7 linked regions of the Ovis aries genome follow. The protein of the gene in region 1 interacts with the protein of each later gene in a pairwise test. Links are inferred from orthologs where the notes say so. Each region holds a gene or a part of one and is shown in the gene's direction. Other genes may lie near its edges.

Region 1 (4,191 bases):
CAACTCAACATCCATGTTTCAGAGTAGGACTTTAAAACGTTTCCACTATTTATCTAATCCCAGCTTGAATTTTGCTTTAACTTAGGTTTAATCGTACTGGGGACTATAATGGTTTATCCAAGCTAAACCTAAGTCGGTTTTAAAAATTACTAAGGTATTCAGTTTCTTTTCAGCAAAGCTCTAGGTAAGGCCAGCTATTGAACAAACTTAACAAAGAGGTGTTGACGGTGTCCGCAGGATCAGCACCGGGACCTCTGGCAAAGTCTGTCAGTTAGCTCTCTGAGCCAGGTGTTCCCAAATGTGAGGCACAAAAGACGCGAATAACTTTTCCAAGGAGCATTTTGCAATGAGTACCGCAAGCCTCTCTACACAACCAAAAAACCAGACGAAACAGTGTTCAACGAATCGTTTTTTGTAATAGGTAAGAACCAAAAACCACCTGTTTGTTCACCATCGTGAAGATAATCCGCGGAGTGAATCACAGTCCTGTCACTCAGCAAGCTTGGAGCCCGGTCAGGCGCGGAAAACCTGGCACCAAAGCACCCGTTCGCGGCCAATAAAAACGATGGAGACAAACATCAGCCGCGCGCAGACGCGGGGGATGTATTGGTAAGACAAAGAAGCCAGGCTGCAGCACTTTGTGATCCGAGTTCTGCAAAAATACAGCCGGCTCATTTTTGCAGGGAAAAGGGCACTGGAAGGAAAGACACCTTAATGCGAGCCCGGTGCTCCCCGGGAGCTTCCCGGTGACGTCTGCTCCACTTTTCCGACTGCGACAAAATGAATTGATAGTCAGGCAGAGGCCGGAGCCGCGGGTTCCAGGGCCTGGCCGGGCAGGAGCAAACCGCCGCCCGGCCGGGTCTCTGGGAGACGCCCGGAGACCCCTCCCCACCTCCCGCGCGGGCCTAGGCCTCACCGCGGGGTCGCACCGCCGCCAGGACACCGCCCACTGCCCAGCACGCCCGCCGCCGCCGTCGCCGCCGTCGCCGCAGCCGGGAGATGGCGGCCGCTCGCACCGCGGCGGGGGCGCCGGGCGCTGCGCACAGGGCCTTCCGGGCCGGCCGCGCCGCCCCACCTGGGCAGCGAGGCTCACCTGGGCGCCGTGGGCCTCTGGGGGCTCAGGGCCCAGAGACCGGTGGGTTCCGCCGACTGGACCTCCTAGGCCCTTCACCGAGAACCAGACGCAGCCTCCGTGGAAGCGAGAGCTCCGGGCGCGCCGACTGTTTGTCGCGCTTTAGGTCCCCGAGGTGCCCAGCGCCGACCGCCGCCCGCCCCTCCCCCGCGCGGCGACCAGCCCCGCCCGCGGTCCGCGCGGCAGGCTTTGCACTCTTACTCCTTCCCGAGACGCCTCCGTAAGAACCAGCTGACAGCGGGCGCTGGCTGGACGCGGGAGTGAACCGAGTGGGCAAAACCAGACCTTGCATGCTCTGAAGCCACGGGGCAGGTAAAAACGATCCTAGCATTGTCTCCTTGAAGCTCTGTATGGCTTCTGATTACTCCTAGAAAGATCAAAACTCGTTAGGATGGGCATGAGGCCCCGTGTATGATGTTGGCCCAGTCTCCCCTGGCTTCGTTTAGATAGATCCTCGAATGATGTGAAGTCCTTCAGCCCAGGGCCTCTGCAGATGCTCTTCCCTTTGCCTGGACGCTCCTCCCTGCCTCTTCCCTTAGTTAACTTCCGTTGAGATTGAGATTGTTCGTCAAATGTCATTTCCTAAGAAAAACTATCCTAAGGCTTGCAACACCTGGAATTCTCAGTTCTGTTCAAGTTGTGCAAATATTCGTGTAATCTTTGTTGAATGTACAGCATAATAGGGTTTCCTCGGTGGTTCAGCCGTAAAGAATCTGCCAGCAATGAGGGAGACCTGTGTTGGGAAGATCCCCTGGAGGAAGCACCACAGCCCACTCCAGTATTCTTTCCTGGAGAATCCCATGGACAGAGGAGCCTGGCGGGCTGCAGCCCATGGGGTAGCAAAGAGTTGGAGGGAGCATGGCTCCCTCGCAGCTTAATAGTAGGCTGAGGTCTGTGAAGTCAAGGACCACTGCTGCTTGGTTCTCACTGTAGCAGCTCCCACGTCTGCACAGTGCAGGCTCCCACTATGCTCTGATAAGTGTTGTTGAATGAATGAAGAGTAGACCTGAGTAATGTTTCAGGTGGCCTTGATTTTCATTAAGGAAGAGACAGCAATCACTGCAGAGGAGGGGATGGGTGAGTGGGCCATCTGAAAAGAGCAGTGAGTGGTCCCCGTGAAAAATGGGTTCAGCAGCAAAACAAACATGTGAAAGGGTTCTCTGGGGGCTCTGAAGATTGGAGGGCAAAGGGACATGCAGGTCCCAGTGTGTATTTCTTCCCTCAGCCTGGTGTTAAGGTAAAGGATTGTTTCACCTCTGGGATTGGTAGTGAGGATGCTGAGCAAGTATCTGAGAGAACAGCAGTTGAGAAACAATAAAGAAGAATCTGTTGATTAGGTTAACTAGTCTTCAAAGTAATGGACTGAATTCCTAGGGAAATTATGTTACAGGGATTCTGCTTAGAGAGCACTGATTTCTTGTTTGCTCTTGTATTGAAAGCTCCCTGGAGACAAAGACTTTTCATATTTGTATTTTCTTCTGCACTAGTGTCTTGAATAGAGACTTTTCAATAAATGATGATTGAAAGAATGAACCAGGGAGATAGAGAAGAAGGCAAAAGGCCCCAGAGTGGAAATTTCCAGAAATAGATGAAGATGCATCCCTAATTCCTTTTTCTTGTCCTTAGATCTTCTGAGAAACACTTGTGAATTGTTGGGTGAGGGCCAGGAAACCCTGGTTGGGCAGTAGCTGAAAAATATTGTTTAGTGAAGGATCATATTTTCTTGTAAAACTTTGGGAATCAGAATATCTTTTATAAGACCAATAAGGTATAATTTATTGAATGCTTGCTTTGTGCCTTGTATAGTATTGCCTGCAGTTCTCACAACAGTCCAGTAGTTATTCCCATTTTACAGAGACTCAAAGCCCTACAGAAGTTGCAGGGCCAGCCCATGAAGCCAGCCTGTAGAATTTTAGAAGGTCATATTATCAGAGTCTGCTGTTATTCAGATCCTGTCTTGGGGGTCTGGGGAGTCCCTAGCTTAAGGGCCCCAGAGTGCAGAGGGGCTCAGCCCACTCATCAAGTGCATTCAAGTCTGTCCCCTGAATAGGTGAGGCAGTCTCATTTTGCCGCTGGCTTATTCTGCGCCAATGTTTCCTTCTTGGGTATAGTTTCTGGGGCATCTGGAATTAAGGAACTTACCAGTCTAGGCTGTCTTTTCTACCTACGTATTCCCTGGGCCCAGCACACTGGAGGTAGGCATGGCCACTTGTTATCAAAGAGGCTTGTTAGGAAAAGAAAGTGTGAACAAAACACCATGAAAGGTGTTGACCTGAGTGTGAAACATACTCACCTGGTGATCCTGCTCTTGACTTTATTTCCACTTGCAGATTGTTTTCTTGTTTCCCTAGAAGTGCCTGGATGTTTGTTGCTCTAGCCTCTCAAACTACTTCTCACCAGCCCACCCACAGACGTCAGTGATTTATTTTAAGAGAGCGCCTAAAACTGCTTTCATTCACAGTAGTCTATGCTTTCATTGGGCCTCCTTTGGAAAAGGGAATTGTTAATGAATTAATGGATTTTCTGAAATTACTTCTTAAACAGCAAGAATGGACATCAAAATTAAAGGGAAAAGTTACATCACCTGATACCTACAGGTTTAAAACTTCCCACGTGCCCTTCCAGTATTGGTCCAGCGTGACTGTTGGCTCTGTGTGAATGGAAGCTGCGCAGAGACGTTCAAGAGCCCAGGATTCTGACTCAGCGGACTGTGTGTCAGCGTGAGTCCAGTAACCAGGCTCCTGCTCCAGCCAGGCTGCCGCTGCTTGGGCCTCTATCCTTCAGCACAAAGAGCCTCTGGCTCTCCCGACATAAAACACAGAAAGTGGAGAAGGATCAGTCAAGATGAATTTATAAACTTCACACCAGAAACATTTGACAGTTTTAGGAGAAAATAGATTTTGTTCTGAGTCATCTGGAGAGTGGGGTTTATAGGTTCACCCTTACTTAGACCAAAGAACCAAGGGAAGGCACCTTTAAAGTGTCTAAGGAGCATTCCGAGGCTTGTGTTTCAATTACTTAAGACAAAAATCTGCATCTGGTTTACTTTGAGAAATTTC
Region 2 (3,621 bases), on another chromosome or scaffold:
ACACATGCTGTGTAGTCCCAGGACTGCGTATACACGGCTCTTACTCCCATGATCAAGTTAAAATTAAACTATGGCCCAGATGACCCCACGAAAGGGGGATTGCCCAGAACGGGCCTGACCTATCACCTGAGTCCCTTAAGCTGGGTCTAGAGTCCGACACGGAGGGAGTCTTTTTTTTTTTTTTTTAATTATATGATTTTTACTTAGTGACGGAGCCAGGCTGGAAGTCCAGGCCACCTGGTTCCAGTATTGACTAGCCACATGGTCTCGGGCAATCTCTTCCCTTTCTCCAAGCCTCAGTGTTCTGAGCCATGAAGTGGGTGCAGCCAAGGGACCAGGTGTTGTGGATCCAGGGCCTGGGGTTGAGGGTTCCTTCCCTTGCCCATGGTGACGCCCCAAGGTCAGGCAGGCCATGCAGGGTGGCAGAGGGGGTTGAGTTGCAGCGCCCTCAGCCGCACGTCCGTGCCCCGGTCCCTACCAGGTGCTGGAGAACAGAACTAAGGACTCCAAGCTGGAGATGGAGGTCCTGGAGAACCTGCAGGAGCTCAAAGACCTGAACCAGCGGCAGGCCCATGTGGACTTTGAGGCCATGCTGCGGCAGCACCGCCTGTCAGAGGAGGAGCGGCAGAGGCAGGAGCAGGAGGAGGATGAGCGGGAGACGGCGTGAGTGGGACACTGGGGCCAGAGGGGGCCGGGGTGCCCACCCACCTCCCAGCCTTTGCAGTGCCCTTCCCTCTGCGTGGAATCCCGCTTCCCGATCTTTGCATGGCTCCCATCTTAGGGAGGCCTTCCCCATATCCCACTCCCCACCTTGTTTTCTCTCTCGTGGCATCTGTGTCAGGGTCCCCAGGATCACCCCCAGGTTCAGTGCTTAATTAGAATGAAAAATTACAGGGAAAAATCAACAGCAGGAAAAGGCATGGGGCAGGGCTGGGGGATTGGGCACAAAATTTCAGAGTCTTCTGCCTGTCATGAGATGGGCTTAATTCCCCCAAAAATAGACGTGATGGCGTGAATGAGGTGTAGTCCCTGGGGAGGCCTAGCCTGGGGTTCTCATTGGGGGCCAGTCACACAGGTGCCTGCCCAACTTGGCCGAGCCCCCAGACTCCAGGAGGAGAGTGCACCCCTTGTTTGCCCAGATAGTGTTGGGGCAGGGAGCTTCCCATCAGTAGCAGGAGCCCCAGAGTCCAGGGCCAGTTGCCCCTGAGGGCTGGCCTGGTAAGCCAGCCTTTCCGAGGCTTTGGCCTCAGGCCTGCTGTGTCTGTTCATGCTTCTGCAGGGCACCTCCCACTTTCTGGAACCTTCTTGCTGATTCACCCCTTTCCTGATATGTCTTCTGTCCTTCCTCACCTAAAATCTGAACAGGGACTCGGTTTGGCTTCTGCATGCAGGGCCTGGAAGGGAGTTGGGCACAGAGTAGGTGGACAGCCAGTGCTGTTGGGTTGGCAGGTCAGTGAGACCGGGATTAGCAGTGAGAGAAGTCTGCGTTCACTGAGCCCGTTTTGGATATGGGCACTGTTCTGAGTTTGAGTTTGGATCCACCATTATGGTGGTCGAGGGAACTGGGGTGTAAGGAACCATACACACAGCCCTGCCTAAGGTCCCCCAGCTGGGGTTCAAATCAAGGCAGGCTGGTTCCAGCCTCCAAGTGCTTAACCACCCCACTGGGTTCAGTGGACAAAGAACTGTTTTTTTAAGATATTTGTTCACCCCCATCCCGTACTTAGTGAAGCTAGGAAAGGAAAGCCAGGTGCCTCATTGTGTGGGGGGTCCTGGTCACTGTTCCCCCAATAAAACATGTCCCCAGGTTCCATGTTCCTTCCTGCAGGGCGCTAGTGGAGGAATCAAGGAAAAGAAGACTCCTTGAAGACTCTGACTCAGAGGAGGACACCACCCCCACCCAGCCCCAGCCAGCCCTCCGGCCCAACCCCACTGCCATCCTGGACGAGGTGAGTGGGGCCACCTGGATTCCCACGTGCTCTCAGGTGGAGCAGGGACAGGGTAAGCCAGGCTTGGCTTAACTTTATCTCGAAAGGCCACAGACAGCCCAGGCCATAGTGCTCAACACCACTGTTGTAGCACTAAACAGCCGTGGATTGTGTACAAATAAGTAGGCATGGCCATGTGCCAGGAAAACTTTATTTACAAAGACGGGTTGCAGCCCTCCAGGACTGTGAGGTTTTCTTTTTATTTCTATGATTTTTTTATTGGAGTATAATCACTTTACAGTGTTGTGTTAACTTCTGCTGCACAACAGCGTGAATCAGCTATGTGTATACGTGTATCCCCTCACTCCCATCCCACCCCTCTAGGTCATCACACAGCACCAAGATGAGCTCCCTGTGTTGCACAGCAGCTTCCCACTAGCTATCCATTTTACACATGGTAGTGTGTATACGTCAGTGCCTCTCTCCCAATTCGACCCACTCTCTCCTTTGCCCTACTTGTGCCCACTAGTCCGTTCTCTATGTCTGCCACTCTGTTCCTGCCCTGCAAATCCAGGGCTGTAGTTTTCCACCCCTTCTCCAGCTGCAGAAACAAGGAGACTCGCTGGATTTAGAGACCTCAGGCAGATGTTGATTTCTCAGGCACTTAACAGTCCTGGGCTGGACTCCGGGGCAGCCCTGTTCCATGCAGTCATTTCAGGGATCCAGGGCTCCTCGCTTCTCCTAGTTCTGCCCTGTCCTGGAGTATGGCTGCCAGCTCTGTGGTCGCAGCTGGCTCAGAGCACCCTGGGGTTCTGGCTGCGGGAAGGCGGAGGGGGTGTGGAGGAGTACCTGCCAGTGCCTGGAGGCCCAGGTTCAGATGCCACCCACACCCACTCCCCTGGAATGTGGAGTCCCAGTGGCTGGACATAGTCATGTGGCCGCCTTGAACTGCAAGGGAGGCTGGGAGCTGCCCGTCCTATTATTAGCAGAAGGAAAAAGAGGGTTGTGGGGGTGAGGGGTAGGAGATTGTCTGGCATTTTTCACCACAGCTGTCTTATCCAAGGTGATTGAGGCCACTCTGGTTAATCGAAGGAGGGGCTTAAAATGGGAAATGGTAAATAATGCAGAGATCCTAGAAACTTTATTATAACTCAAAACATGTTCCCGGTCTGTATTAGTTAAATACCAGTCCAGCCACTGGACAGGACCCAAAGTAACAGCAGTCTCAACTGCATAGAAGTTACTTTTCTATCAAATAACAGTTGTACATGGCCGTGCTGAACAGGGAATATGGACCCTGGTGTCCGGGGCATCCTCCACCTCATTGTCCTGCCATCCCCAGGATGATGCCCTCAATGCAGGGCAGCTCACACTGGCCAGTGGGAAGGGCTGGGGACGGGGGAGGACATTAAGGGTAACAATACCTTTGGTTGAGCAGATCCTTCTGCTCACACCCCATTGGTCAGAACTGAACCACCTGCCCACATCCTGATGCAGAGGGGTCTGGGAAATGTAGTCTTTCACAGGGGCAGCCATGTTCAAGCCATGAATTCTGAAGAGGATGGGTTTGGGGGTCATGCACTCTCACTTGTCAACCTTTTGATGTAGAACCAAGATATTTTCTTTGAGGCTGCATCCCCTGATCAGAGTTCTCTCTCTGTCTTTCTTGCATAATCCACCCTCAGAATTCACC
Region 3 (4,270 bases), on another chromosome or scaffold:
GGTACAGGGGCCGCAGGCGCTGGGCCTTTCCTACAAGAACCCAGGGCAGGGCAATGACTGGAGTGCCAAGCTGGGCTGTGTTGGGTCCAGCTGGCTGGGACAAAAGGGAAGGCTCAGGAAATGCCACTCACGCTCAGGCCCCAAGGTCACTGAGGGTGCCGACACCGTGCTGGCCACCACTGGGAGCACTGGGGTTCCCAGACTCTTGCGCTTCTTGGTCTTTTTGTGCTGTTTGGCAGATGGTGAGGGCTCATTCTGATTATTCTCCGGCTCTTCCCTCTGCAGCGACAGCCCCTGTGGCAACTCACTCTCTGCCCTAGGATGGGCTTGGTGGCTCGGGCCTGTGAGGCTGGGGAACAAGGAGGCCTGAGGAGCCAGCCTGCAGCCTTGGCTCCTGTGCCCTGTCCTAGGGAACAGTCCTGCCTGCCTACCTCCCCAGGCCGTGATCCTTGTCCTTTTCCTGGTCAGTGAGGCCCTGGACTGGACAGGGACCCAGAGATCATGGGAGTTCAGTCCCCTACCAGGCCTTGAGACTTTTGCTCTGCATGTTCCCTACATCAGGGCTCTGGAGGGTCAGCAGAGGTGAGGAATGATGGTGGTGTCAGGGGATAAGGATGGACACTACTGTAAGGCCCCATTTAAGAATCCAACTGGGGTATGAGCCACCCCCACACCACCTCCCCAGTTCCCAGTCTCTTCCCTCTGAAAGCCCCCTCACTTGACCGGCTTCCTCTTCGGACCATGACTGGGCCTCACAGTGGAGGCCGTAGGCCTGGGACCTCTCTCCTCCAGGGCCTCCACCTCTGGTTTGTGCCTGTCTTCCTCCAGCTTGAGTCTCTCCTGGATCTTTGGCTCTGAGGTGGATCTTATTGGACATTTATCTTCATCCTGGGTTTGGCAGGCCTCATGGGCTGGCACCAGGCCCTGGTCTCCCATCACTGGACACTAGCGGTGACACACAGGTAACTGGTCACCATGGCCAGGTAAAGGATACAGGGACCAGCCATTAGACTCTAAATACTCTGGATGAAGGGCACCAGCCCATGCCCCTCCCAGCCTGTGGAACCTGGCCTGGCAGTTTTGGTCTATTAAAGCGCTATGACCCAAGTGTTTGAAGGTTAGACAGCCCGATGGTCACCTCAGAATTCTGAGCATGGCCACCAGGCATCTCTGTAAGCTGTGACTGCCCCACGGCTGCCCCTTCTTGGGCCCCTGGCCGCTTCTCAGCCCCTGCGGAGTCCATAGCTGCGGCGGATCAGCACTTCCTCGACGGTTGCTTGAGGGGCATTGGGGATGGAGGGCGGATCCTGAGGGGCCAGACTAGTAGACCCTGAGCGGACCCGGGAGAGGACCGGATTGGGAAGGGCAACTGACAGTCGTTCTGCTCCCCCCTCAGCTGGAACTACAGGCCCCAGAAGGCTTTGCGCCAAGGCCATTGGCCCCTGACCTCACGGACGGAAACCATTGTTGCCTGGCAACAGCAAACCCGTCGGGTGGCGGCAGTGGGCGGCAAAACCGCTCTGGTGAGCCCCTTGCCCGAGTGAGAAGCCTGCCAACGGTACTGAGAGGTGGGCTGAGAGCAGAGGTGGCGAGCGCAGGCCGGGGCCGGGAGGCGGGGTGGGGGCCGGGAACGCAGGCAGGGCACGGCTGAGGTTAGGACCCGGGGCCAGGGAGGAGGCACTGGGCTGAGAAGCCGGGTTTGGAGCCAGAGACGCGTAGCCCGGCAGGCCTCAGGTGCAACGTTTGCAGGACGGCGGCGGCGGTATGTGTGAGGGTCCGTCCCGCATCTCGGGGCCCATCCCCCCAGACCCTACGCTCTGTCCGGACTACTACCGGAGGCCGTCTTCGGGTGAGTTAGGGAGTGAAAGCGGCCTGGCAAGGGTCGGGCCCAGCTCCACCACTGACTCCGCACTCTGCCCCGTCTGGCCTCTCAGCCCAAGGGCGCCTTGAGGGAAACGCGCCGAAGTTGGACCTGCTGACGACGGATACGGACCCGGACCTAGACGCCACCCCTCCCCGCGCCCCTCGCATCCGTCCGGGAGGCCTAGAAATCCTGGAGCGTGGCCGTCGCGGCGTGGGTGGTGTGCTGCTGCAGCTCGGGGGTATCTCCCTAGGCCCAGGGGCCTCTCCCAAGAGTAAGTTCTGGTCAGAACGGACAGCGAGGCGGCTCTGAAGTCAAAACAGATAAAAAGACGGCTGCTTCCCCTTCCCTGCTCTGGGCTCAGGCTTTACCTCTCAGAGTGTCTGTTTCCCCAACTGTAGAAGGAGCGGGAAATGCACGACTTCTTCGCAGGAGAGGACTAAATGAGGCATACCCCGGAAAAGCCCGTAGCTCAGCTTCATGGATTTATGCATGGTTGGTTGTTGAGTGTCTGCTGTGCTCCAGGCCCTATGGGTGCTAGGAGAACAAGGTCGAAGAAGCGCATCATTGAATCAAGGTGGGAGACAGTAAAACAAGTGAAGAGGTGAATAGGATATGCAAGGTGATTACTAGTATACTTCATAATCAAATATGTATAAAATCATCAGAAACAGAAGATAATTATGGTGTGAGGACGAGAACAAGGTTATGTGGTGGACTTTAGAGTATGTCAGGGAGGCAGGGTGTGGGCTTGTGTGTCCACTGGGGTAAGTTGGATTGTATGGGCTGTATGTAGGGCAACATCTTTTCTCCAGGGAAGGACCCTAAAGACCATGAGAAGGAGAACATGAGGCGGATCAGGGAAATCCAGAGGCGCTTCCGTGAGCAGGAGCACAGCCAGGAGCAGGCCCAATCCAGGCCCCTGAAGGCCCTGTGGCGCTCACCCAAGTATGACAAAGTGGAGTCGCGTGTCAAGGCTCAGCTGCAGGTACCTGCCTCAGGGAGCCCCAAGTGTTGCCCGTCTTGTTGGCCAACAGGACATTATACTCTGACTTGAGTTATGAGGAGGGAGGAAACCCACAGTGGGCTGAGGTCACAGGGGATGAAGAGCTGGTCCTGCTGCAGAGTGGGGCTGTGGCCTTTCTCTGAAGTGATGACAGCTGGGTGATTCTGAGGGGCAAGTCGGAATTAGGCAAGGGGAGAATAGAGGAGAACATTTTATAGAAATGGAACCTTGTGGTTCCAGGGTCCCTGGTCCTAACACCAGGGACTTAGGAGTGTGGGCAGTGGGGATGCTGTGTTCAGTTCACTATGAGGGAGGAAGAACATGAGGTTAGGCTAAGAAGTCAGCTGGACCCACATCATAAAGGGCCACATAAATCCATTTTTTTAAACCTTTATTTCTAAGGACAATGGGAAGGGCAGGGGTATGTATGGTGGTAAGATTCTATCTGGGGTAGCTAGTGGTGCCACTTCTCTTTCCAGGGGTCTGAGAAGGAGAAGTAGGACAGAAAAAAAGACAAGGTCATATGTGGGTGTGTTGAAGCTGAAGCTTTTGTGGGGCTTCCAGGGAGTGGGAATGTGTCCAAGAGGCAGATGGAGAATCAGGTCTGGATCTCAGAAGTGAGACCCAGGAGCTATTGAGGACGAGGCTGAGGATAGTGAAACCAGGGAAGTGACCCTGGATTTGGGGGCTTGGAGACCAGCTGTTGGTGGCCTTGGTAGGGACAGAGCCAGAAAGCTTGACTAGGAAGGAGAGAAAAAGAGAACGATGACTGAAGCCAGGACTGAGGTAGAGGGAGGGAAATATGTTTTCTGAGAGATGTGAAAAACACACAGGTTTAAATGCTGATGTGATGGAAGTACTTATTCAAGAGGAAGGAGGCCAGGTCCAGAGGACTGGTGATAGAGAAAGATCCTGAAAGACAGGAGGGACAGAGGCATGGTCTTACAGCTTGAGACCCTGACTTCAGCCTGACTGACCACCCCCCGCTCTGCCTTGGCCTCCAGGAGCCCGGCCCTGCCTCTAGAACTGAGCCAGCCCACTTTCTGCGGGCCCATTCCCGTTGCGGCCCCGGGCTCCCACCACCCCGTGTCCCCAGTCCCCAGCTAACCCTACCAGGTCCCAATGCTAAGGTGAGAGGATATGTGGGGGCTGGGAGGTGGGGCAGGGATTCCGGGGCACCACACAGTGCTGTTTCATCATGCTGGCCATGTCCCGCAGGCCCCAGGTCTGGGTGTGGACTTCATTATGCACAATGCCCGCACTGCCAAGAGGGCCCCCCGGCGGCATTCTCGCTCGCTGCAAGTCCTGGCACAGGTGCTGGAGCAGCAACGGCAAGCCCAGGAGCACTACAACGCCACGCAGAAGGGTCACGTGCCCCATTAGTAGGTCCTACTGCTCCCCCC
Region 4 (4,340 bases), on another chromosome or scaffold:
TTCTTCTTGTAGATCTGTCCATTTCTGCTCTATATATTTTGAGGCTATATTATTAGATATCTGCAAATTTATGTATATATAACTGAATCACTTTGCTGTACATAAACTAACACAACATTGTAAATCAACTATTTTTCAGTAAAAACAGTTTAAAAGATAACTGCAAATTTAGAATATTGCTCACGAGTGGAAGCTTTTTTGCTCTTCTACATACACATACAATATGTCCTCCACACTTACTGCTTCTTTTCCACTCTCTTCTAATGTTCTATTTTCAGTGTTTCAGCATGCTGATTTGGGGTCGGGGTCAAATCACAAGAGGGTTACGTGCAGCCACAGAACTCGCTGCATGCAAACGCCTGGACGTCCCTTCTGTGGTCATTTGCAGCGTCCATACCTCATGGGCTTCCAACTCTAGCTTTGGCTAAGAATCCAGCCGGTGTCTGTTCCAGTGGTCAAAGCAAATCCTCAGCCAAAACAAAGAGCAGCCTGCAGAAAGGTGAGGGAGTAGGGTGTTTCGCAAGTGTTTACATTCCTGATGGAAGAAATACTTGGTTCAGACTTCAGAGAAGGGGTCTGGATATTGCGCGTTGCGTACCCTAACTTTGTGGTGGTGACAGCAGGTTGTAGGGCCAGGAGTGGGGGGTGGCTGGGGCCTCAGCCTCAGGAAGTAGGGGTTTGGCTGACACTGCACCACGAAGCGACTTAGCATCATCAGCAGCAGCACCACCACCACGCCTGATATTTTAAGGCTAGGCTTCTTTTACAGGCGCTTGGTGTAGCGGCAAGGCGTCATCTGAAGCGCCCAAATCCCAAGTGGGAGACGTTGTTGGGGGTGAGGTGGAGATGAGGCTTGTTTGTGGCTACTGGTGGGCGTTTACACCTTCCGATCCCCACCACTATAAAGCGGAGGAACCCAAGCAGCAAACGTTCGGGTCACACACACCTGCACTCTCAGTCACTGGTGGGTGGACCAGGCTCCACCTTCCTCCAGATTGGTCGACTTCCGTTAGCTTTCAAGTCAGGGTAGAAAGTAACTCACGGCTTCCCATTCTCCGGCTCGCTGGAGAGCCATGTTAGGTCGCGGGATGCAAACGTTACCATTGTCCCGAGACCGCGACACGATAACACGCCCTGCTTTCTTCTGCCGCCGCCACCTCCTCCAAACATATTATTTCAATGAATAAAAAGCCCCACAGCACAAATCGTTTCATTAGTGTAATGTGAGAAGTCTGCATTTAGGGGGTGAAATGCGAAGAAGAGGGACCAGGTGCCCTATTCCCCCGACCAATCCTCTAAACCAGCAAAGACTCAATACTGACTCCCACTATCCAAGGGGCCCCGCGGCGGGCGCCGGTTTTAAGTGATTTTTGGCCCCTCGCGGCCCCTGTAGCGTCCCTAGTTACCGGGCCCCTAGTAACCACCACCCTAAGCAAAGAGCAATCGGGCGCCTGCGGCCACGCCGGCTTCCCCGCCCCGGGCCAGCGCGGGCGCTCAGGCCTCGGCGGCGCGGTGATGGCTGCTTCGCACCGAGCGGCGAAGTTGGCGGCCAGAAGTCTCCAAACCCCGGTCAATCCCAACACCGGAGCGCGGGTCGCCCAGTACGAACGCAAAGACCCTTTGAATTCCCTGTCGGCGGCGGCGGCGGCCATGGAGGAAGAGGAGGAAGAAGAAGAAGAGAAAGAGGCGGCGGCACGGCTGGCGCGGGCGCCGGTAATGCAGGGGAGGGCAGTGGGGTGGGGCTGGGCGCCGGGTGCAATTGGAGGCTGATCGGCGACCCCCGGTGGTGAGGCGCGGGCTGGGAAATGCGAACCCTGTCCTGACCCGTACAGGTGAGCCTGGCCCACCAAGTCCTCTGGGTCCTCACGGAAAATGCTCGAAACCGAGGCGTTGAAAAGTCTTTTAACCAAAGAGGTTGTTGTAAAAATTTCTTGGAGGGCATTTACGTTACGCTATTTCTAATGAAAAGTACAGAAATTTATTCTTATGCTCCAGCAACTGTTGGGAGTAGGTATTTTCTTTTCTTTTCTTTTTTTTTCTTTTTCCTTTCAACTCGAGGAAAACTGTGCTGTCCTACAGAGAATAATCCAAAAAACGCAAGTGAATCAGCTGTGTTGTCAGGTGTGTTTTGTTGTCACTTCAATGTCTTGGTTATTAGTGCGTCTTAATACAATACATGAGAGATGATGGTTAAAACCAGCAGGAGTTTAGTGGGGAGATCAGAAACAGAGTTAAGCCTCCAGAGAAGCAAATTACTGAGGCTCCAGTGTTGCCACACGGCTCTTCAGAGTGAGGAGAAACAGCTTTTTCACAGATCGATTTTCAGTGTCGAGTGTTTTGTGAACACCTGTCTGCCAGGTAGGGGGCCAAGTCTGCCATCTGCTCTATTCCCTTAAAAGATGAGAACTTTGAATTTTAACCAGCAATCTGCAGGTATAAACCTTCTTAACCCCAGGTAAAGATTCTTTTGTTATTTTTAATATTTATTTATTTGGCTGTGCTGAGACTCAGTTGCCTCCATGCAACCTTTGTGTGGATTCTTTAGTTGTGGCATGCAGAATCTACTTCCCTGACCAGGGATGGAACCCAAGGCCCTTGCATTGGGAGTGCAGAGTCTTAACCAGCAGAGAAGTCCCCCCAAATTCTTAATACTGTTTGCTCAAAGCATCTTAGGTTAAAAACATGTAGTCTAGTGAAAGTCACTCAGTCATGTCCAACTCTTTGCAACCCCCATGGACTATACAGTCCATGGAATTCTCCAGGCCAGAATACTGGAGTGGACAGCCTTTCCCTTCTCCAGGGGATCTTGTGGTCTAAGGCTATTAGAAATCACTGGATATTTTGGAATTCTAATTTCTTTAATCTGCACTAGAAATGGTAATGAGAAAATCTGTAGTAACACCTTTTATGGGCAGTATTTTACCAACAGATAAACTGCTTGAGGTTATCCAGAGTAAAGCAGATTCAAAGACCCTGAACTTCAACCAGAATGAGTGACCTACAACCAAATTCATTCATGATAAAGCTTCAAATTTCAATACCCAATGAAGGAGGTGGACTGATGTTGAAAAATGATTTGAATGAAGAGAAGAATTTGGAGTCCTGGGTTAGGATCTGTTCATTTGCTAGTTAATATTAAGATGTAACTTCTTTCAGTTTGTTTCCTTATCTATAAAAGAGCTCTAAAATAACTGTCTTTCTTTTCTCACTGGGGTATTATGAGAACGAAATAAGAGCATATGTCATAGCTAAAAGACAGTTTGTATAAATTAGTAATAATAATAACAGCTGCCAGTGGGGCTGTTATTTGAACACCTATCCAAAAGAGAACAGGAGATTAAGTTCTCTTCTGGCTTGCTGTAGTGGAAAAGTCAGTCATTTCTGTGGTTGCAAGTATACTTCCAGAGTACCCTGTAAAATTGCAAATTTGTATTAGAAATATTACCTTAGGAGAGATCAGTTTATCTAATAAGCTAGTTTCTAAGGGACAGTGTCTCACTAAAAAAGAAAAAAGGAAGCTAAGTTTAACGCTATTCTGAGACCACAGTACTTAAAGGAACCAAAAGGAAATCTGGATCAGCTGCCACTGTAGTAGTGGTAAAGAACCCCCTGCCTGCCAGTGCAAGAGATGTAAGAGACGTGGATTTGATCCCTGAGTCAGGAAGATCCCTTGAAGAAGGGAATGGAACCCATTCCAGTATCCTCGCCAGGAAAATCCCATGGACAGAGGAGCCTGGCAGGCTACAGTCCATAGGGTCGAAGAGTCTGACACGACTGAAGTGACTTAGCGTGCAGCACATAGCAGTAGACCTGATGGAGACACTGGGGTGGGCAGACAAAGCACTGGAAAGGCAAGAAAGAAAGTGCAGCAGACAAGCTTTACCTTCCTCACAGTTTGGCTTGATATCTCACCTTGATTTTTAAACGCTAGTTTCTCTCAACTTTGTCGTCTATAAAATGGAGTTAACTCAGCTTACCATAGCCATCACACAAAATTGATTATGTAGAACTAACTGTCATAGTTCGGTTCAGTTGCTCAGTCATGTCTGACTCTTTCCAACCCATGGACTGCAGCGCACCAGGCCTCCCTGACCATCACCAACTCCCGTAGTCTACCCAAACTCATGTCCATTGAGTTGGTGATGCCATCCAACCATCCCATCCTCTGTCATCCCCTTCTCCCCCCACCTTCAATCTTTCCCAGCATCAGGGTCTTTTCAAGTAAGTCAGTTCTTCACATCAGGTGGCCAGAGTATTGGAATTTCAACATCAGTCCTTCCAATGAACACTCAGGACTGATCTCCTCTAGGTTGGACTGGTTGGATCTCCTTGCAGTCCAA
Region 5 (4,151 bases), on another chromosome or scaffold:
ATTTTATTTCTTCTCCCAGCTGAGGCCCAACTGTAGAACAGGTGAAACCACTTGAGAAGTAATGCTACTAACAGTACCTTCAGGAAAGTTCCCTTCAGCAATTTTTCACTCCTGGACTCAAAAATTACTGATAAAATCACTTTTCACAGCGCCTGATATATGCCATATTTCTGGACTTCAAGACTTTGCTCACATTGTCCCTTCTCTCCGTACACAGCAGTTATAAAATCTTTTCTACAGCGTTCTGCCAACTAGCCTGTTTTTTGTTTTTGTTTTTAAACACGATCCACCTAGAAAATGGGGGCTATTTGTTCCTATTCTATTATAAACCCTTTCGGTTCAGTTCAGTCGCTCAGTCGTATCCGACTGTTTGCGACCCCATGAATTGCAGCACGCCAGGCCTCCCATTGCTGCTGCTGTTGCTAAGTCACTTCAGTCGTGTCCGACTCTGTGCGACCCCATGGACTGCAGCCTACCAGGCTTCTCCATCCATGGGATTTTCCAGGCAAAGAGTACTGGAGTGGGGTGGCATTGCCTTCTCCGGGCCTCCCATTAAGACTTACTAAATAAAATTCAAGTTCCTGGAGGACACGAGCCTTTTAACAATATTCCATACTCCTTAGAGAGATCTAAGTGATGTAAACACCAGTGCTTAATAATTACTTACGGACTCATATACAAACACTCCAGCCAGGAATATGTTATAATAGGCAGTCTCCAGAAACGGACAGAACTGGAACGCTTAATAGTGTTCGGATCTCAGACACTATTCTAAGCTGCTTGGGGGATTTTTTTTTTCTTGCCACTGGCCTAAATTACCACCACTTGCCCTCAAGTGACCAAAAAATACCTCACCACAATCCGCTCAGCCTCATCAACTGAGCTAATCAAGTGCTGTTAACGGGATTTCTATTCCGATTAAACTCTGAGCTTTCAAATTTGACAATCTTTACAAACTGCAGTTCATTATCTCCTGAGTTTCATTATTCATCACTACCCTGTAATAGTCGGGTTTAGACCAACCTAACGAACAAAACCTTTACTTGAGACTTCCCTCGTCGCAGGGTCTTAACAGCAAATCCCAGTGGAACCAACTTCCCGCGGGGAAGACGCGTACAAGCACTGCGAGACTGAGAACACCGGGGCAGCCTATGGACATGCGCAGTAACAGACTCCACCTTCTAGTCGTAGGCGTCTAGAAGTCCTCCACAATCCCACAATCCTCTGGTCGTATACTTCCGGTTTTTCTAGCTCAGTCGAAGGTGGTGTTTCTATCAGTCGCGGAGCAGTTTCAAGTGGTCCTAGGAGGAGAGGGTTTTATCTGTTCGTTGACGTTGTAGCTGTTCACTTTGAAATCAGTCGAGTTTCGGGAGTCACCGCCGCTGTCGTCAACATGTCGGTCCCAAGCTCACTCATGAAACAACCGCCCATTCAGTCAACGGCTGGGGCCGTCCCGGTTCGCAATGAGAAAGGTACTGTGTTGAGCGGTTTTCCAGTCGGATCTTATCTCTTTCGTCAGGATATTCCAAACTTACCCCGGGTCCACCACCTTATCCCCAGAGATCCTTAAGACCCTGCCCCTATTTCTTCGACTTCCCCGTCAAACTCGGATCCGATCGCGTTGCTACTTAGAACTCATCTCCTTAGTAGAACCTGTGTGCTCTCTCGTCCACCAATAAGTTAAGCTAATATAGTGAATGCCTGCTATTTGCATGGCTTTGTGTAGCATACATTTTGTTGTCCATTGTCTGTTTATGGTGCTTTTATAACTCGTATGATTGTAATTACTTGTCCACCTCCGTCTACTACATCGTAAATCAATAACCTATTTGAGGCAAGAACTCTATCTTAAAACTTTTTATCCCTTTCAGCCATCGCAGTGACTGTATTTGTTACATTGAATACAAAATGGTGTAAAACAGTGGTGTAAGGAACTCATAGTCTGTAGATGTGAGACATGCAAAAAAGAGGCACATTCTGAACAAATTTATGGTCTTTCCCACCTATAAAACCTGTCACATAGGTGATATAAACGAAATGCTTTGGGAGGACAGAGAAGGAATAATCTCTTCAGATTGGAATATTTAACTTGATCTTTAAAGGATGGGTAGGATTCTAATGAGTGCAGATGGACGAAGGAAAACTGTACTTGTTTGGGGAGTCAGACTGAAAGTCTGAGTTTTTTCAGTAAAGTATTTGGAAAATAATGTCAGTTCTTTTTATCTTTTAAATATACAGTATCTATCTTTGTGCATTCTGCCTTTTGTTGTTGTTTTTTCCTTAAGTCAGCATGACTTTGGTAAGTGTCCTTTGGATACCTGAAGATCTCATTCATTCACTTTAACTGCTTGTTTCGTCGCTAAGTCCTGTCTGACTCTGGGACTCCATGGGACTGTAACCCACCAGGTTCCTCTGTCCTTGGGATTTCCCAGGCAAGATTACTGGAGTGGGTTACCATTTCCTTCTCCAGGGGATCTTCCCTACCCAGGGATAGAACTGGTGTCTCCTTCATTGGCAGGTGGATTCTTAACCTCTGAGCCACCAGGGAAGCCCCTTTACCTGCTTATAAGTTCCATTGTATAATTAAACCACAGTTTGATCCCTGTTGAGGGACATTTAGTTGTCATTTTGTTACTTTTTTCCCTTTTACAAATAGTGCTTAAATATGTCTCTTTAGTGCACTTGTGTAAAAATTTCTACTAGGGTAGTGTGAATCTACGTTGACACATCATTTATCATTCAGTCCGTAGTTTGCATTAAGATTCACTCTGATGTACATTCTATGGATTTGAACAAATGTATCGGGATATATATCCATCATTATGGTATCACACAGTATTTTCACTTAGTAATATGCATTTTAAGTTTCCTGCATGTATTTTCATGGCTTGATAGCTCTTTTTGTTTTGTTGTTGCTGAGTAATATTCCATCATCTGGATGTACCATAGTTTACTTATCCATTCACCTCTGTGAAGGACAGCTTGGTTGCTTACAAGTTTTGGCAATTATGAACAAAGCTACAATCGATATCCATGTGCGGGTTTTTGTGTTTTGCTCCTTTGTATAAATACCAAAGAGCGGAAATGAGATCATATGGTAAGAGTATGCTTAGTTTTGTATGAAACCACCAAACCATCTTCCAAAGTGGTTGTGCCATTTTGCACTCCCACCCACAATAAATCAGAGTTCCTGTTGCTCCACATTCTTACCAGCATTTGGTATTGTCAGAGCTCTAGATTTTGGCCATTCTGTGTGTAGCAACATCTCATTGTTGTTTTTTTTTTTTTAATTTGCATTCCCTGAAGACATATAAGGGCTTCCCAGGTGGCTCAGTGGTTTAAAAAAATTACTGCCAATGAAGAAAACAAAGGTTTGATCCCTTGGTGAGGAAGAGGCCCTGGAGGAGGAAATGGCAGCTCACTCCAGTATTCTTGCCTGGAGAATCCCCATGGACAGAGGAGCCTGGCGGGCTACAGTCCATGGGGTCGCAGAGTCGGACACGACTAAGCCACAGAGCATGCACGAAGACACAAAATGTGGACCATCTTTTCACATACTTATTTGCCATCTGTATATCTTCTTTGGCAAGGTGTCTGTTAAGGTCTTTTACCTCACCTTGTTCTTCAGAATTGTCTTGGCTCTTTTTGACCTCCTGTTCTTCCATATGATTTTAGAATCAGCCTGAGAACAGCTTTTAATGAAATTACATTAAAATTATAGAGCACAGGTCAGTTCAGTCGCTCAGTCGTGTCCGACTCTTTGCAACCCCATGAATCACAGCACGCCAGGCTTCCCTGTCCATCACCATCTCCTGGCGTTCACTCAGACTCATGTCCATCAAGTCCGTGATGCCATCCAGCCATCTCATCCTCTGTCGTCCCCTTCTCCTCCTGCCCCCAATCCCTCCCAGCATCAGAGTCTTTTCCAATGAGTCAGCTCTTCACATGAGGTGGCCAAAGTACTGGAGCTTCAGCTTTAGCATCATTCCTTCCAAAAGAAATCCCAGGGCTGATCTCCTTCAGAATGGACTGGTTGGATCTCCTTGCAGTCCAACGGACTCTCATTTATTGATTTACTCGGGCACAGTTGCCCTCTTCTCATCTGTGAACATGGTACATTTCTTCATTTATTTTGATCTTTTATATCTTTA
Region 6 (3,621 bases), on another chromosome or scaffold:
GTGTTGGCTTCCTAACAACTATAGGACAAAATCTAAGATGTTAAAATGACCTAAGAAGGCCTCTATGATCAGGCTATTTACTTCCTATGCAGCCTTACCTCCTGCTACTGCCCTCTTTCACTTTAGGCTCCATCAACACTAAATACGGTGATCTCTCAAGTCTCTCTTTTTTTTTTCACGTTTTTTTTTTTTCCAGGTAAATCCAAATTTTATTTTTTAAAATTTTTCCAAGTTTTCACTTTATTTATTTTTAATTCAAATTTATTTATTTTAATTGGGGGCTAATATCTTTACAATATTGTATTGGTTTTGCCATACATCACCATGAATCTGCCACAGGTGTACACGTGTTCCCTATCCTGAAACCCCCTCCCACCTCCCTCCCCGTACCATCCCTCTGGGTCATCCTAGTGCACCAGCCCCAAGCATCCTGTATCATGCACCGAACCTGGTCTGGTGATTCGTTTCTTATATAATATTATACATGTTTCAATGCCATTCTCCCAAATCATCCCACCCTTTCCCTCTCCCACAGAGTCCAAAAGACTCTTCTATACATCTGTGTCTCTTTTGCTGTCTTGCATATACAGTTATCGTTACCATCTTTCTAAATTCCATATATATGTGTTAGTATACTGTATTAGTGTTCTTCTTTCTGGCTTACTTCACTCTGTATAATAGGTTCTACTTTCATCCAACTCATTAGAACTGATTCAAATGTATTCTTTTTAATGGCTGAGTAATACTTCATTGTGGATATATACCACAGCTTTCTTATCCATTCATCTGCTGATAGACATCTAGGTTGTTTCCATGTCCTGGCTATTATAAACAGTGCTGCGATGAACATTGGGGTACACGTGTCTCTTTCTATTCTGGTTTCCTCAGTGTGTATACCCAGCAGTGGGATGCTGGGTCATAAGGCAGTTCTATTTCCAGTTTTTTAAGGAATCTCCACACTGTTCTCCATAGTGGCTGTACTAGTTTGCATTCCCACCAACAGTGTAAGAGGGTTCCCTTTTCTCCATACCCTCTCCAGCATGTACTGCTTGTAGACTTTTGGATCGCAGCCGTTCTGACTGGTGTGAAATTGTACCTCACTGTGGTTTTGATTTGCATTTCTCTGATAATGAGTGATGCTGAACATCTTTTCATGTGTTAGCCATCTGTATGTCTTCTTTAGAGAAATGTCTGTTTAGGTCTTTGGCCCATTTTTTGATTGGGTCGTTTATTTTTTTGGAATTGAGCTGCAGGGGTTGGTTGTATATTTTTGAGATTAATTATTTATCCATTGCTTCATTTGCTATTATTTTGTCCCATTATGAAGGCTATCTTTTCACCTTGCTTAGAGTTTCCTTTGTTGTGCAGAAGCCATGTATTGTTTCTTCTGCCTAGAATGTCCTTCAGTTCCTCATTTCTTCAGTGAACTCCTATTTATTGTTTAAAACCTTGTACTGACATCACCAACTTCAGGAGCCTTCTCTGAACACACCTCTCTCACAGAGTTACCCATCCATCAATCCACTCATTTGTTTGTTTATTATTGAGAAATATTTATTGAGTACTTAGTGTGGACCAGATGCCATGTAAAGTACTGGGAACATCATGGCTAGAAGACAGGCCAAATGTGACCTTTACCCTTCTTGGCCTTATATTTAGAAGTGAATATACATATGCATATGCACGTGAACACACATGCATCACACACACACATACACACACACAAATACACATTCAAATAGATAAAGAAAATAATCATCAGTTTTTTAAGTGCTATGAATAAAAGAGGCAAGAAACTGTTATACAGAATAATGAGTGTAAGGGATAGATACAGAAGCAACATAGTATAAGGTTGACCCATGTGAAATTGCTAGTATTTGAGTATTTTTGTTCCACGTAATTGGTGATTTTATATAGTTCAACCTAATAGTTGCCTTTCTGAGGAACTGACTTTAAACTTAGATCTGAAGATGAGCTAAAACTGGCTAAGGTGGCTAAGCTTGAAGCTTAGCATGTTTCAGAAACCAAGAGAAAACTGAAAAAGATAGAATTGAGAAAACTGTTGAAATGTAAGAGCTATAAGTAGGACAGATTGTATTGGATCTTTATAGGAATTTGGATTGATTTTCATTGAAGTATAAAGCGACTAGATTATCTTAAAATCCTTCTGATTTCAGTGTGGTACTGAAAGGGAAGAGAATAAGGGCAAAAAATAGGGCTGTCAAGAAGTTGATATCAAGAGGCAATATAATGTTGTGCTAAGTGTGCAGGGTTTGCCCTCATGCTGCCTTGATTTAAATCCTGGTTTTACCATTTGCCATTTATTATGTCACTTTATGCAAGTTACTCAAACTCTCTAAGCTTCAGTTTTTTCATTTGTATCATAGGATAATAACGGGATCATCTTCATAGAACGTTGATCTATGACTAACCTCTAGATTAGTCTAGAGACTGAATAAGATTATCCACTGCACAACACTGAGCAGTCCCTGGCATCTAATAGAGATTAATAATCCAACGACAGGTGACAGTACCTGCACTATTTTGATGACAGCATATTTGAAGAGAAGTGAACAAACATGAGACCTCTTGTTGTGGGGGTTTAAGCAGCAAAATTTATTAATGAATTGGATATGTGAATTGAGGGAGAAGGATTTTCAGGCATGACTCCTAGGTTTCTGTCAAAGAAAGGAATGGATTGTGTTGCACTCTACTAAAATGAGGAAGGTCTGCCTGGTATATTATTTGGCTACAGAAATTTCTCTTTCATTATACCATATAAGGCAGAATGAAAGAAAGAAAAAAGGTAAGTACCATATAATATAAAAATAAAGTTATTTAAAATTTAGATAATAGAACCCTACATGAGATATGAAAAACAATTTATTTTATATTTATACCACAATGTCTAAAGCATGTAAAAATTTTGTGTATATATTATTTTTTTCTGAAACTCTAAGATTTTGTAAATCTTTTTACCATACTATGTGATAAACAATGAACAATTAAACTTATGTGCTTACTTTGTCTTATATTAAAGGCGTTTTGTAATCATTCCATCTGCTTCTCTCACAGAATGGAACCTTCTTGGTATACCAGCAGATGAAGAATTTAAGGAGGGTGTCTATCTTTATTCTCTTTAGCAACTGAGAGTCTGCTCTGGGAACCATCAGGCACCATGGGTAAGCGGGACAATCGGGTGGCCTATATGAATCCTATAGCAATGGCCAGATGGAGGGGCCCATCTCAATCTGCAGGCCCAACAATACAAGATTATCTGAATCGACCAAGGCCTACCTGGGAAGAAGTGAAGAAACAATTAGAAAATAAAAAGAAAGGCTCCAAGGCATTAGCTGAATTTGAAGAAAAAATGAATGAGAACTGGAAGAAGGAACTAGAAAAAAGCAGAGAGAAATTATTAAGTGGAAATGAGAGCTTATCCAAAAAAAGAGACAGAAAGAAAAAGAAAAAGAAGAAATCTTGTCGGTCTTCATCTTCTTCTTCATCAAGCACTGATTCTTCAAGCAGTTCTCCAGATTCCGAAGATGAGGAAAAGAAACAAGGAAAAAAGAGAAAGAAAAAGAAGAACGATTCATACAAATCATCAGAAAGTTCTCCATG
Region 7 (4,277 bases), on another chromosome or scaffold:
TTGCAAAAGGTTGCTGCTAGTCATGTGAAGGTTACTGCTAGTCATGAAGAGCACACATCACCATGAAAGATGCTGGTGCTTTTCTAGATATGAGAAAATGCAAAAATTGGGCTCATAAAAATAATCTCCTGAAAATAAATGGACTTTTCTGGCAGTTTTTCCCAGAGCACAAAGTGCCTCATTCCTGATCTCCACCCTGAAATCCTTTCAGAGGATGCTACAGGTCAGCAGCTACAGCAGGTCATCATTTAATCCTCATAGATGTAGATGGCGGTGGTGGTTTAGTTGCTAAGTCGTGTCTGACTCTTGCAACCCCATGGACAGTAGCCTCCCAGGCTTCTCTGTCCATGGGATTCTCCAGGCAAGAATACTGGAGTGGGTTGCCATTCCCTTCTCCAAGGTATCTTCCCAACCCAGGAATCGAGCCCAGGTCTCCTGCATTGCAGGCAGATTCTTTACCAACTGAGCTACCAGGGAAGCCCCCAGATAGAAAGTACCAATTTGTCATCAGCACTTGACAAATTGGCACTTGCTAACTTGCATTCTATGTACCAATACTACCAGCAGAGCATATGTTTAAAGGTGAAGATCAGACTTAGATTGCCAAGGTTTAGAACTTGTTCTCACCTAACAAGCTCTTGGATCTCAAGCGGAATATTTAGCCACCTGAACTTTCACTTTCCTTGGGTGCAAAATCTATCCTTTAGAAGTATGGGGACTAAATAAGGTAGTACCATATAACAGCGCTTGCCACACTACCTGTCACATAAGGTTCTCATGGTAGCTATTTACCTGGCTTAAAAGTACTGGTTTAATATTAAGAGAAACTAACAAGTAAGAAACATTAAATCTATTATCTATTATTCCATCAATTTGGTCGCCTAAATCTGGCTTCCCTTGATCATCTTCCCATTACTGCAGTCTCTCCTGGAGAAGGAAATGGCAACCCACTCCAGTACTCTTGCCTGGAGAATCCCATGGAGGGAGGAGCCTGGTAGGCTACAGTCCATGGGGTCGCAAAGAGTCGGACACGACTGAGCGACTATACTTTACTCCATTTCACACAGGAGGTAAAAACTCTAAGACTTCAGTGTTCTCCAGAAGGTGAAAGAAAGAACACTGGTAGTTAATACAAACACAAATCCTTCGCCGTCCTGTGACGCGTTTCTGGCGAACCCAGCATAGGGTCAGCCCATACCTACCTAACCCCGCCCCTCCAATTTCTGGAGGCGGAGACAAATCACAACGCAGGGTGGAAGTCACCTAGCTTCCGGCTAGCTACGCTGGAATTGAGGTGCACAAACGGCCTCCAAGGCGATTTACAGATCGATTGTTTATTGGCTACTAGCAAGCACTCGCTCTCCGCATTGGCTGTTACTGCCCGGCGCCAATGTTCGCGCAGGATGTTCGCTGCAGCTAGTGAGAGTGACAGACACTGCACCTAAATTTCCGGTTCCGGTTCACCGCTGGCGCCATGGCGACCGTTAGAGGGTCGCGGTATCTGCTGACAATAGGCAGATGGCGCCGCAGCTTTGGAATAGCGCCCCAGTTCCGAGTGAGTACCTATTTTCCCTGCTTTCAAAAGAAGCTTTGGACCTCAAGAACAGCTCCTCTCCGAGGAGGTGCGCTTTCGGCAGCTCCTCCTTTAGCCTCCCGCAGCCATCCTCTGTGCCCCCTATTAGCTTTCCTTTTTCTGCAGGCGCTTGCTGCCCTCGTGCCCGGCGTATCCCACGTGGATAACAAGTCCGATTTCCTGGGGAAGAGGCCCCATCGCCGGCACCCTGGCATCCTGCAGCTGTCATGCGTGCGGCTGCCGCAAGGATTGGCTGAAGCCGCGCAGTTACTGCTGCTAGGTGAGTAAAGATGGGAAATGGAAGCTCAAGAAGCGAAGATTGGACCCTGCGTACAAGTGATTCCTCTTTGCATCTTTGGTCCATAGAGAGCTCGATGCCCAATATGGAGAAACAGGTGCAAGCCCTAACCAATTATCTCTGGAGCCGGCATTTACCTGTAGAGCCAGAGGAGCTACAAAGACGGGCTGTTCTTCTTGAGAAAAAAATCCTGGAAAACGCAGGTAGGTCTTTTCAAAAATAAAGAGTAAGCCAAATAGAAAGAGCAGAGGGAAATGAAGAGCTAGTAATAATTCTGCAGCCTCTTAAATAGATACTGCGATTTCTTATTTGACTTTCTAATCAGAGTAGTTATTCATAATGTTGCCTTTCTAAAAGAAGAAAAGTAATTTCAGAGATTGCCTATTAAATTCAGGGCTTTAGTAAAGATCAATGAGTTATTCCCTGACTTCTTGTAGTACCTGGTTTGTAGTAGGCACTCCGTAGGTAAAATAGTACTGAAGTGAACACAATTGTAAGACAAGTTTTTCAAGCCCCTTTCCTTCCTATAGGAACTTTGGAGACATCACATTATTAAATTGGGGGGAAGTGAAGAAATCTACAAAGTACTGTCTATCCTATCCTTTAACTTTTTATTACACTTGCTTTTAATACAGAACAAAACCTGTGAGATAGAGTTGGTTGAATTGAATGAATTGCTGTTAGAGGCAATATATTATCTGATATACTATGGTGGTGGTGGTCATTATTATTCTTACCTGAAACTCTTCTCTAGTTTGGCTTCTCTCTTAAGCATTTTCCATGTGGGAATTGGTAGGGAATGGCAGGCAGTAAATTCAGATATTGTATCTGAGCCCTGTTCTTCCTAGGTCCTTACTTCCAGTGCTTGTTCTTACCCCAGACTCATGTCAGACAGAGAAACATCATGAAGAAGTCCTGCGTGCCTTGCGCAGAACTACCTATCATTGGCAAGAATTGAGGTAAGGGAGACTAGAAGGGCTGCAGAAGAAGGAAAAGTTTGGCTTTTGAGAAGGAGAGTTGGGGAAATACAATTACACCATTTAGTGTGTGAAAAGGCAATCTGGTTTATAAGCCTCCCTAAGACTTGTCTGTGTTGATCAGTGAAAGGGTTGAGCTGGAAGAGCCCTTTGCAAAGATTTCATTTCCTAAAAGTCTGGAGGGTAGCTGCAGGATAGAGATTAATTCCCAGTGGTATGTCTGATTTTTCTGGCAGCTACAATGAGGGACTGAGCCTGGTGTATATGGCAGCAAGACTGGATGGTGGCTTTGCAGCAGTTTCCAGAGCTTTCCATGAGGTGAAATTCCCTCAACTTCCAACCAGAAACTTTACTATCAGTTCCCTTTTTCATAAAGTAATCTGGGGCAAGATTCTTGGGACATTACATGTGCATTTTTTTCGAGAGGTTGTCTTTATCCTCTGAAAGGAATTTTTGACCCAAAAAAAGGTTTAGAATCACTGTTCTAAGACCTTTCTATTCTATAAGGCATTTACACTGAATCTTGACATTCACAGCTCATTTCCTCTGTTGCGGTCCCCTAATTCATGTTTACCAAGACCCTAAATAAGTGTCTGTCTTCCCCACTGTGGGGTATTGAATATTTCTTCAGATCCAAGCTCGCCTTCCAGACTTCCAGCCACAAACCTTGATGGACTTTGGCTCGGGTACTGGCTCTGTCACCTGGTGAGTATCTTTCTCTGTCTCTGTCAGTTCCAACTCTAGAGAGTTAGAGCTAGCTTATGCCACGTCAATATCAAGACACTGGAGAACCAAAGGAAGAAGAGAAAATTGGAACTGATGTGTTTCTTCCCTCAGATTAGACAAGGCATGAGAAGGTATATAAATTAGGGTCAGAACTTAAAGAAATGTCAAGTGAAAAAACCCACATTTAGAAGGATAAAAAAGGAAAGGAATTTGATCTCGGACAGGGATTTACATGTCAGCAAGATTTTTGTGTGTGTGTTCATATAGTTTTTGAGTCTTCTTAACAGTTGTAGATGAAACAAGAAAATAAGATTGCTAGTTTTTCCAACTATTTTAACATAGCGCTCTGTTTCCTCAAGGTTGGGTTAGGGACAGAGGGGTCTCTTGTAGGAATAACTTTGTCGTAAGAACTGAAGATTTATTTTTTGCCACTTTAGGGCTGCTCATAGTACTTGGGGTCAGAGCCTACGTGAGTATATGTGCGTGGACAGCTCAGCTGCCATGTTGGAATTGGCAGAAAAGCTGCTGAAAGGTGAGGACAAAATGTAAGGAAGGGCTTTTCCAAAGTTGAAGGCATTTGCAAAGCAAAGGAGTACCAGAAAGGGTCTTTTACTGGGGAGTAGAGGAGAGGCCGGAAAGTTAAAGATGGGTCTGATGCGATGACCCTGTTGAAGATGCTGGAGGCCTCTGTTGGACTATGGAT

Evidence for each region.
Region 2: the proteins of CEP70 (region 1) and YJU2 interact in a two-hybrid assay, tested with the Homo sapiens proteins (2 studies listed by BioGRID and IntAct). The two-hybrid records come from large-scale screens. The link is inferred for Ovis aries from reciprocal best matches to the Homo sapiens genes CEP70 and YJU2.
Region 3: the proteins of CEP70 (region 1) and ENKD1 interact in binary tests that used the Homo sapiens proteins (3 or more experiments, as listed by UniProt). The link is inferred for Ovis aries from reciprocal best matches to the Homo sapiens genes CEP70 and ENKD1.
Region 4: the proteins of CEP70 (region 1) and FAM161A interact in binary tests that used the Homo sapiens proteins (3 or more experiments, as listed by UniProt). The two-hybrid records come from large-scale screens. The link is inferred for Ovis aries from reciprocal best matches to the Homo sapiens genes CEP70 and FAM161A.
Region 5: the proteins of CEP70 (region 1) and MFAP1 interact in binary tests that used the Homo sapiens proteins (3 or more experiments, as listed by UniProt). The two-hybrid records come from large-scale screens. The link is inferred for Ovis aries from reciprocal best matches to the Homo sapiens genes CEP70 and MFAP1.
Region 6: the proteins of CEP70 (region 1) and FAM133A interact in binary tests that used the Homo sapiens proteins (3 or more experiments, as listed by UniProt). The two-hybrid records come from large-scale screens. The link is inferred for Ovis aries from reciprocal best matches to the Homo sapiens genes CEP70 and FAM133A.
Region 7: the proteins of CEP70 (region 1) and METTL17 interact in binary tests that used the Homo sapiens proteins (3 or more experiments, as listed by UniProt). The link is inferred for Ovis aries from reciprocal best matches to the Homo sapiens genes CEP70 and METTL17.

Annotation. Positions count from the first base shown.
Region 1 is NC_056054.1:251,159,101-251,163,291, forward strand, and holds the start of CEP70 (centrosomal protein of 70 kDa), read left to right. Parts: upstream 1-1,354; 5' UTR 1,355-1,444; exon of another isoform or gene 1,445-1,643; intron 1,644-4,191.
Region 2 is NC_056058.1:17,612,634-17,616,254, reverse strand, and holds part of YJU2 (splicing factor YJU2), read left to right. Parts: intron 1-481; coding exon 482-663; intron 664-1,828; coding exon 1,829-1,949; intron 1,950-3,621.
Region 3 is NC_056067.1:34,775,526-34,779,795, reverse strand, and holds the start of ENKD1 (enkurin domain-containing protein 1), read left to right. Parts: upstream 1-1,463; 5' UTR 1,464-1,523; exon of another isoform or gene 1,524-1,568; intron 1,569-1,749; 5' UTR 1,750-1,764; coding exon 1,765-1,849; intron 1,850-1,934; coding exon 1,935-2,135; intron 2,136-2,676; coding exon 2,677-2,849; intron 2,850-3,871; coding exon 3,872-3,997; intron 3,998-4,085; coding exon 4,086-4,249; intron 4,250-4,270. Other genes in the region: C14H16orf86 (uncharacterized protein C16orf86 homolog), read right to left, coding at 1-30, 132-379, 719-945, 1,139-1,243. UniProt on the Homo sapiens protein: Microtubule-binding protein which regulates microtubule organization and stability. Promotes the stability of astral microtubules and facilitates the proper orientation of the mitotic spindle.
Region 4 is NC_056056.1:46,300,808-46,305,147, forward strand, and holds the start of FAM161A (protein FAM161A), read left to right. Parts: upstream 1-1,430; 5' UTR 1,431-1,515; coding exon 1,516-1,713; exon of another isoform or gene 1,714-1,720; intron 1,721-4,340. UniProt on the Homo sapiens protein: Involved in ciliogenesis.
Region 5 is NC_056071.1:53,265,225-53,269,375, reverse strand, and holds the start of MFAP1 (microfibrillar-associated protein 1), read left to right. Parts: upstream 1-1,254; 5' UTR 1,255-1,393; coding exon 1,394-1,472; intron 1,473-4,151. UniProt on the Homo sapiens protein: Involved in pre-mRNA splicing as a component of the spliceosome.
Region 6 is NC_056080.1:140,852,980-140,856,600, reverse strand, and holds part of FAM133A (protein FAM133A), read left to right. Parts: intron 1-3,075; 5' UTR 3,076-3,178; coding exon 3,179-3,621.
Region 7 is NC_056060.1:24,452,266-24,456,542, reverse strand, and holds the start of METTL17 (methyltransferase-like protein 17, mitochondrial), read left to right. Parts: upstream 1-1,443; 5' UTR 1,444-1,474; coding exon 1,475-1,555; intron 1,556-1,699; coding exon 1,700-1,853; intron 1,854-1,939; coding exon 1,940-2,074; intron 2,075-2,751; coding exon 2,752-2,830; intron 2,831-3,084; coding exon 3,085-3,166; intron 3,167-3,479; coding exon 3,480-3,553; intron 3,554-4,011; coding exon 4,012-4,106; intron 4,107-4,277. UniProt on the Homo sapiens protein: Mitochondrial ribosome (mitoribosome) assembly factor. Binds at the interface of the head and body domains of the mitochondrial small ribosomal subunit (mt-SSU), occluding the mRNA channel and preventing compaction of the head domain towards the body.